Linked DNA regions of Oryzias latipes. The protein of the gene in region 1 purifies or fractionates together with the protein of each later gene. This does not show direct contact. Links are inferred from orthologs where the notes say so. Each region holds a gene or a part of one and is shown in the gene's direction. Other genes may lie near its edges.

The links.
Region 2: the proteins of ccnf (region 1) and nusap1 purify together in Homo sapiens (affinity purification with mass spectrometry; 3 studies listed by BioGRID, with this or other methods). This does not show direct contact. The link is inferred for Oryzias latipes from reciprocal best matches to the Homo sapiens genes CCNF and NUSAP1.

Annotation. Positions count from the first base shown.
Region 1 is NC_019866.2:11,077,419-11,081,783, reverse strand, and holds the start of ccnf (cyclin-F), read left to right. Parts: upstream 1-1,367; 5' UTR 1,368-1,759; coding exon 1,760-1,772; intron 1,773-2,801; coding exon 2,802-2,956; intron 2,957-3,119; coding exon 3,120-3,226; intron 3,227-3,323; coding exon 3,324-3,391; intron 3,392-3,837; coding exon 3,838-4,034; intron 4,035-4,365. UniProt on the Homo sapiens protein: Substrate recognition component of a SCF (SKP1-CUL1-F-box protein) E3 ubiquitin-protein ligase complex which mediates the ubiquitination and subsequent proteasomal degradation of target proteins.
Region 2 is NC_019880.2:1,752,221-1,756,464, forward strand, and holds the start of nusap1 (nucleolar and spindle-associated protein 1), read left to right. Parts: upstream 1-1,195; 5' UTR 1,196-1,286; intron 1,287-1,421; coding exon of another isoform or gene 1,422-1,593; exon of another isoform or gene 1,594-1,813; intron 1,814-1,864; exon of another isoform or gene 1,865-1,956; 5' UTR 1,957-1,957; coding exon 1,958-2,032; intron 2,033-2,169; coding exon 2,170-2,232; intron 2,233-2,311; coding exon 2,312-2,455; intron 2,456-2,949; coding exon 2,950-3,091; intron 3,092-3,166; coding exon 3,167-3,259; intron 3,260-3,832; coding exon 3,833-3,945; intron 3,946-4,244. Other genes in the region: oip5 (protein Mis18-beta), read right to left, coding at 146-227, 359-481, 589-655, 1,422-1,593. UniProt on the Homo sapiens protein: Microtubule-associated protein with the capacity to bundle and stabilize microtubules. May associate with chromosomes and promote the organization of mitotic spindle microtubules around them.

The DNA of each region.
Region 1 (4,365 bases):
TTACCTGAAAGTGGCTGCGATGGGTTGGAGTTTCTATGGAAACAGTGCATCCAGTTGAAGATGTCACAGCCCTTGCCCTGACTGAGGTCACTCAAGATAATTTGATTTTGCTGCATCTCCAGTGTTAAATAGAGCAAAGAATATTTCCCATAGTGAGTTAAGAGGAAATACACTTTCTTTATTGTGCAAGTCAAGATAAAAATGGGAAATAAATAATATTGCCGTGGAACCTTTTTTGACACTTCCAAAAGCCTTTGCCCTCTTAAATGTAATTACTGAGTAGTAGCTTTGTTTGTAGCGATGAGATTAGGTGAACAGGTGATGAACCGATCAATAGAAGGCTTGAAAGCAACAAAGGACTGACTGTGCACTCTGGTCCTTTATAACCTCCTTCCAAAAACTAGCAATCAAGAGGACACTATTCAGCTAACAGAGAAGTTTATTTATCGTCAATAGAGACGCAACAAAAAGGTCTTAATCATGTAGTTTTCTCCGAGGCAGCTGCAATAGAGGCCAAACCAATCTGTTGCTTTCATTCATTCATTTGTGTTGTCGGTCACATGGTTACTGAGATGTGAAGTGATGTGTTTTTGTGTGGGTTGGAGGGGGGGGACTCGTTTTTGTTATCTCGTTAGGACTTTTGCTGGTATAAACAGAAACCTTGTCAGGGTTAGAAACCCTTTTGGGTATGAAAGATTGGTCCAAATGAGGCAGGATGTAATTGCTGGATTCCTGGGTATGGGGGCAAAGGTGTACATGGAGGTTAAACTATGGTAAACTAGAACCTTAGGGGAGGAGGGGCAAAATCCAATAAAGCCAGGATATTATATAAAGATTTGTGTAAATCCATGTTTTGCTCTCAAAACTGCAGAAAAATAATATATCCTTACATTTTTTTCAAGAACTGCTAATTATATCAGGAAATTTAAATTTGCATTTAGAGTAAAGAGAAAACAACAACGCTTGTAAATTTAAATCAAAAGTTAAGAAGTTAAAGGTTTGCACAATACCAAAACATAAAAATAAATAAATAAAACTAACAAAGAAAAATGTACATTTGTTGTTTTTTATCTTATTTACTTAACAGTGAGCTTTTGGTTCAAACTTATTCTCCACAGTTTGAGTACCAATAACGTAGTTGGAGCTGTTTTTTTTTTTTTTAAGTTCTTCTATTATACCACTGTGGGGAGGGTTAATTTGTAGCTGTCCCTTTAAAAGCGGTACCTTTAAATTGTCTATTTTATGTGACTACATATCCCATGGTTCACTTCAAAATGGTCGCTCTGTGGACAGCTTCATATTCAGGTCATCCAATTATTTGTGCTTTTGGGCGAGCGCGTACTTCGAAAAGGCATTACGTTATCCAATAGAATTCTCTACTTTTCCAGTTTATACCGTATGGCCAACCACAGCCTTCGCTCTGCGGGATGACCAATCGGAAAGTCTTGATGCAACGGATGGGCGTCACCACTTTTCACCAATCAGATTAAACAATGAGTTTAAACCATGGGCGCGGGCGGTCCTAGACCGCTTTCGGGGCGGGGCCAAATGTGGACACGCTTGGATTTGAATTCAGGCAGGAGCTAACAATTTATAGGATGTTAGCTGGTGATAGAAAGACAGCAGATATCGTATCATTCTTAATTTAGTTTTCTGACAAAAGCAGCAAATAATTTTGCTTGTTTTAGGTGGTGTCGTCACTCATTATACGCACTTGTTCCGTGTTGTATCTCCATACATCGGTCTTGAGCCACTTGCAATGAAAGCGGGCGGTAAGTAGATTTTAAAAACTTTCTTCCTACTAATATTTATATCTTCCGTGAAACAATAGTTAAATATTTTGCCTTTTATGAATGTAAATATATAGTCTGTCTTTATTTGTAAGTATTCAGAGAGTGCAGTGAAATTTAGCAACTAAGTAAGCGATGTACTAACAAAACTTGTTCTATTTAAGTTAATACAAACCTAAAATCAAAAATAAAGTCCATAACCTTTAAATTAATCTAGCTTGTTTGTTGTAGTAGTATTTAAATATATATAACTATAAACTAGATTTAAAAATAAAGAACTCAAGCTTCAATCGGAATACGGGAGGGAAATTTGGGCGCTCATCTGATTCGATTTCTTCAACTCAGAAACTTACTTCAAACTATTTTTCTGCGATTATTCAGGTGCAATGTATATTTAACACAACATTTTTTTAAATGAATCCTTATAAAATGGTTGGTGTTTGTTTAAATCTTTATCATATTTATTCAAATATGCAGAGAAGGCCACACGAGGGTGTCAAACGTTTGTCATCTTCATGATGGAGGGAGTTGAGAATTTACTGTCATTTATCTTGAAGGGTCTTCATATTTTCAACTTTTTATCCTTAATTTTCATCTATTTACAAAAATATGACCAAAATAGTGTTTAACTGTATTTTATGAAACTTTATGCTAAGTGAAAAAGTTATTGCTGTAGAGACGAGGCTTGCTGTAGAATCTTATTTCTTTCTTTTTTACATTTTTTTTTAAAATAGGATTTGATTATTCTTGATTATTTTTTTATTTTATTTATGACCATCTTGACCAAATAACACAAGAGGAGGCAACTGCCTCTAAAATGCCTTTATAATGATGTGCAAATATTGATTTTCGCACAGATGTGAGAATGAGTTTTTCGCATTACCCTGTGAAGTGCTTTTGTACACTTGAATGAAATTCTGTACATTTCTGCGTGCATTAAAGATGCTGCTCTAGAGATGCATCCACAAATCCATGTATTGATGACTTTTTCCTCCCTTCCTCTGTCTACAGTTGTCCACTGCCGTTGTTCAAAATGTTACTCGGTTCCAGTGCGGAAGCGGGTTCGTAAACGCTCGTCGTCCCTAACGCTGCTGTCTCTGCCTGAGGAGATTCTTCTCTGTGTGCTTCAGTGTCTGTCTGCAGAAGACCTCCTCTCTGTTAGAGCAGTAAGTAATGATGTATGCATTTGAATTGTGCAGTTTGTTCTTTAACATATGTGCTGCATTTTGTCAAATCTCAAGTGACTGTTCTTTGCGCATCTTGTGACTAAAAACTATAAAGTTTCTTTTTGTTCCTGCTTTTGTTAATCTTATTTTGTTTTGGTTGTAGGTTCATTCCCAGCTGCGGGATATTGTAGACAACCACTCCAGTGTGTGGGCCAGGGTCAGTTTCAGAGACCGATGGCCATCCCCCAACACCTTATGGCTATTTGAAAAGTATGGTTCCCTCTTACAAAAAAAGAAAGAAATTCACTGTTCTGACTGCTTGTCATTTATCGAGTTTTTAACTGCAATTTTTTTTTTCTCAATCTAGAGCTGCAGAAAAAGGGAATTTCGAGGCTGCTGTGAAACTTGGGATTGCTTATTTATACAATGAAGGGCGTAAGTGCACTAAAGGCTACATTTCCTGAGCAGTATGTATTTTAATCAAAGACAAAATGCTCTCGTTCTCAAGAGCAATAACACAACATAACATCAAAAACACCTAAAGACAGCTTTACACTATCAAGGGGTCTTCAATCGCATCCTCAAGGCATCATTATACATTGCTTGCAGCCTCTGCATCCTCAACAACTTTTAATTACCCACAAGTGGGCAGTATATGAAGTATGCATTAGGAGAAAAAAATATAAAACTTGCCTTTGTGTGCGTCTTCCAGCACTATCTACCTCAGAACGGTATATTTAAGATGCTCGACTGGCGTCTAACAGGAATATTTCAAAAACACATGGTTAAAAAAAGTCAGAAATTTTTTTTTTATAGCTTAAGACACTTATGAGTTTGTCTTGATATGAACCTTTTCTACTGTCTTCCCTTTTGTTCTTCAGCGTTGCTGAGTGATGAAGGGCGAGCGGACGTCTGCGGTCAAAAGGCCTCCCACTTCTTTAGCCTGGCGGAAAGCGTGCGCTCCCCCAAAGCCGACCCATTCACTTGGGTTTTCATCCGTCCGCCGTGGTCACCCACCGGCAGCTGCTGCAAGGCCGTGGTGTTCGATCACCTCAAGGCCGAGTGCGATACTAACATGGTAGGTGCTGCTGCTGCTGTTGTTGCTGCTGCTGTGGCTCCATCGAGTCCATCCTGAGGAGCCCTGTATCTGTGTTTCTTTAATCTTTAGCTTTGTCTTCTATATTTGACAGACAACAATATGCTTAGAAAAAATCAGTCTAAGGTCAGTGGAGGGTAGAATCTGGGTTTTAGGTGCTTATTATCAGCAGATTACATTTTAGCAGAAAAATGATGGCCTTGATGGTCTATTTTCTGCTCCTGGAAAACACTGACACTAGTTCCTGCTGAAACTATTACTAGCATATCGATTTTAATGCGTTTACACACACCAAAGTACTTTTATCGATCTA
Region 2 (4,244 bases), on another chromosome or scaffold:
TCTGACGACATGATCCCAGGAGTCAACCGTCCAACAGCAATCTCTGTTTGGATGTTGCTCTGGCGCCCCCTGCAGGACAGATCTGTGTCTACAGCTCCCATTTACTGAGAAAGAACACACACGTGATCCTCCCCGAAGCTCTCACCTCTGCCAGTCTTTCACTCACAGGCTGCAGATCAAATGAGAGTCCAGAGGCCTTCACCATGGAGCTGCTGTTCAGGATGTAACTGCAGAAGAAAATAGTTTTTTTCTGAGTGCTTCTCATCTCAGTGTTCTCATCTCTACCATTGAAAAGGGAGAAAGTCTCAGCTCTGATTTACTCCTTTATTCATGAAAGAGCGGATCAGGGAAAATTCACCAACTGATGCTGGATTTGTCCAGGAGGAAGAGGGAGCGAACTGGAGCCAGGCTCGGTGGGCTCGAGTGGAGAATCTTCCCCACGTCGAGGTGGCAGTGACTGCATTTAAGAGGACTGGAGATGCTGAGGAACAAACCAGTGGAGATCAGGGAGGGTTTCAACATTCAGAGGAGACAGATTATGTCCTGTATTTATCATCTTTATCAGGTTCTACCTTAAAATCTACTCACCAGTTTGTCATTTCTCCTTTATCTTTGGACATTACAGCATCTCCAACCACAACATCGTCTGTAACTTCTGAGGAAAGAAAAGCAGAAATAAAATTTGTATTTCTTTTATAAATGTATTCATAGTAAAGAACAATTTAGTAAAAAAAAAAAAAAAAAAAACAACGGGGGGGGGGGGGTTACAAAAGTAAATAACAACAACATCCCCTTAATTCTGTAAAGCTGAGACCTATTTTAACAGGTTATTATAGCTTTTTTGTTGGTAAATGGGAGAAAACATCGTCTATGGCTGATTAGAGCAACAAGACATTTGAACATTTGTTACTAAATTACATTTTGTTAATATAATATTTGGTAATAAACTCAGGGGATTCATCAGAAAATGCTGATTTTTTATTTTCTTAATTTAATATTTTTTATTTTTATGAAGGACAGTTGGTCAAAAATATTTAGTGTAGTTAAAACAAAATTACTTTTGTTATCGCGTGCTTTAATTGCCTAAAAGCGTCTTCGGTGGCAAAAACTTGCTTTAATTTAAAAAATAAATTCTACTTTTACTGTTGTCAAACCCGACGGATCAATAAAGCTTTGAATTTAACTTTATTGATACCACAGTGGAGACATTTACCTGTCATGGAAGATCTCCCCCCAAAACAGTAACAACTTACAAATCACAGATCACCAAATAGCCAGGCAAACAAGTAAGTAAATAAATAAATAAATTGGTAATTTAACTATATTTTCCCTTTAACACACAGTTCTAACAAATTACTCGCTTGCTAGTTAATATTCTGCCGTGAACGTCTGTGTGACCAAAACAAAGGAGACAAACCTACTTAAGAGAATGACCGAGTCCAGACTCTGCAGTTCACCACAAACATCCAGGGAATCCGCCAGGACGGTGTAGCAGTGCTGGCAGTGGAAGGTCATCAGATGTCTGTCGTCTGCCGCTGTCCCAGGCTTCGCTTCGTCGCTGCGTTTATTTAAAATGCTTTTCTCAAACTCCATTTTTAGCGGGTTTCCCAGACGCGCGTGCCACGCCGAGCAGTTACGAACTTTTATCTATAAACGTTTTTTTTCCCTGTAAGAATTTTTGATTCAAATTCAATTTTCAAAATCTAAAATAAAACAGATTTTTGTGAAGCTTTTCTGTCTTTATATTATTAAAATATTTTTTTTAAACGGAAAGGCATCGACACGCTTTGCTCTGATTGGTTGTGACCATTTCCGGTCAAACTGAGAGCCAATCATAGCCCTCCTCTTGTCCCGTTTCAAATCTGGTTTTAACCGTCAGCCGCGGACGCCTCGCGCAGAATTCAATCTGACTGTGGATAAAAACGGGATTCTTTTTCTGGATTTACTCCTTGTCAGGATGGATTTGGACTCCATGAAATATGCCGATCTGCGAAGTCTCGCTAAACAGCTCGGACTGAAAGCAAACATGAAGGCAAGATCAACATTTAGCTTCATAACTTTATCCTGAACGAAAAATTATTACGGGATATGGCAACTACTAACGAAGGGCGCTGTTACTGTAGTTTGTCTAATACGTGACTTGTGTTAACATAATTTGTCTCAATACAGGCAAACAAACTCCTGAAGGCTGTAAAACAGCACTACAAGCAGCAGGAGGCGGCGGGGGGGAAGGTAACCGGCACTCGTAAACACATCGCTGCTTTAGCCTGAACTGCAGTTTTGTATGAAGGCTTGTTTGTGTCGTGGACAGGATGATCGCGTCAGTCATGCCGATCAGGATGCAGTCAAAGAAACCTCCAGCCCACGCGTGTTTGTCAACGCGCGTCGGGGGAGAGGACGCAGGGACTCGGGGAAGACCACCAGCGGGGCTGCGGTGACCCCAAAGGCTGCACGGGTACACGCAAATACGACGTCACGTGACTTTTGGAGTTATTTAAAAAAAAACTTTATATGCAAACTTATGACAAAACAGGCAATAAGATTGTCTTCATTAACAATGACTTTGTAAGTAGTACACATAACTGAGGGAAAACATTTTACAAAATCATGCCATCAATAAACAATAACTCATTTATACTCACACATTTGTAAACAGACATCCCAGAATAAATCAAAATTGCTGAGGATGTCCAGTAGATTTGCACCTTTGTTATGCATACATTTTAAAGCATTAAGATAATTTGCTTGCAAATGTTTTTTTTGAATAAAATGAAATTAGGCCATACTTTTTTCCATTTTGAGGTATGAATAAGAGAACTAAGATTAACAGACGATTGTTGATCCCAAAGATCATTTTGTCCAAAGTGAGCTGGATTTTTAGCTGGAATCTATGAGGTTTTTGGAGGTTTGGTCCTCTAAAACCTCTAATGGGTTTTCTTTTCTTACCAGGCTGATGCTGAACCTGAAGCCTCATCCTCCAAGACCAGGAGAGCTTCAAAGAGACGAGCGTCCTCTGAGCAGAACTCACCTGAGCCTCAGGAGGAGCTGCAGCCTGACGCCTGCGTGGAAGCACCTGCACGCGTGGAGACAGGTGTGCACTAGTGGGGTTTATGCTCTCCGCTTCTTAACTGGGGTACCTTTTATTCATGAAAACCACTGTGTCCAGAACCAGAGCCAAAACCCAAAGTGAGCAAAGCTGGAAAGATCCCTCGCTATCGTGGATCTCAGCAGAAGGCTGCGCTCAAACCGCTCACTCCAAGTAAGTTTTTCTTTCTTTATTTCACGGCCGTGCTGATGACGCACAGATAAACACGCTCATCTCCTGATGGTGAGGAGTCAGAAAGCAGATTTTTAAACTGAATTTTAGACAGGAAGTCATGAATGCAGAGAAGCTCTATGGCTCAACAGGACGACCCCGAGCTTTTAGTTGACGTTCTGAAGACAAGAAATCGATCATTTCTCCAAATAGTGAGATATCAGGGTGTTTATTCTGACTCTGGGCTGATTTATATTCCATATTTTAAAAAAAGAATCTAGAGTAGAATTTCATCAACATAAAACGTTGCATGACTTTGCCAGCATGGAGGAGGTGCTGATGTTCTTACTTCCACCTAAACAGATTATTGTAACGTCCTGCTCCCTGAAAGAACATCTCAAACCGCAGATTTCTATTTCTCTCCTCGTTTGTTTCATTATGTTGGGTGCACAGTTTTGTCTGTTTTCTAATTTTGTTCATTTATTTTTCTTTGTGAAGGTCTTTGGTTTTTGAAAACAGTTTCCATCATGTGAGTCTGATTCGTTCCCCTTCATCATTTAAATGTCTTTCATCCAGATTTCAAAAAGCTCCACGAGGCTCATTTTAAGAAGATGGAGTCCATCGACACCTACGTTGAGCGTAAGAAGAGGAAGGTGGACACCCTCAAGAATCCTGTCAAAGAGCTGAAGGTATTGGAAACAGCCATGCTTTTATTCTGAAAGCTGGAAATGCACTTGGGTCTGACACATGCCCCCCCCCCCCAGGAGGATGCTGGTCTGTTCCCGGTGACCTCTACAGGGGGTCGGGGTCAGCCTGGAGGGTTCCTGTTCAGGACATGTTTTGCTCCATTAGGGAGGCATCCCAGTGCAAATCTTCTAACCACTCAGTCAGATCCTCTGTGAGGTTTAGTATGGGGGTGGAAGAAAAAATCGATTCGACAAAATATCACGATAGTTCATTTGGTGATACTTGTACCGATTCAAAATGC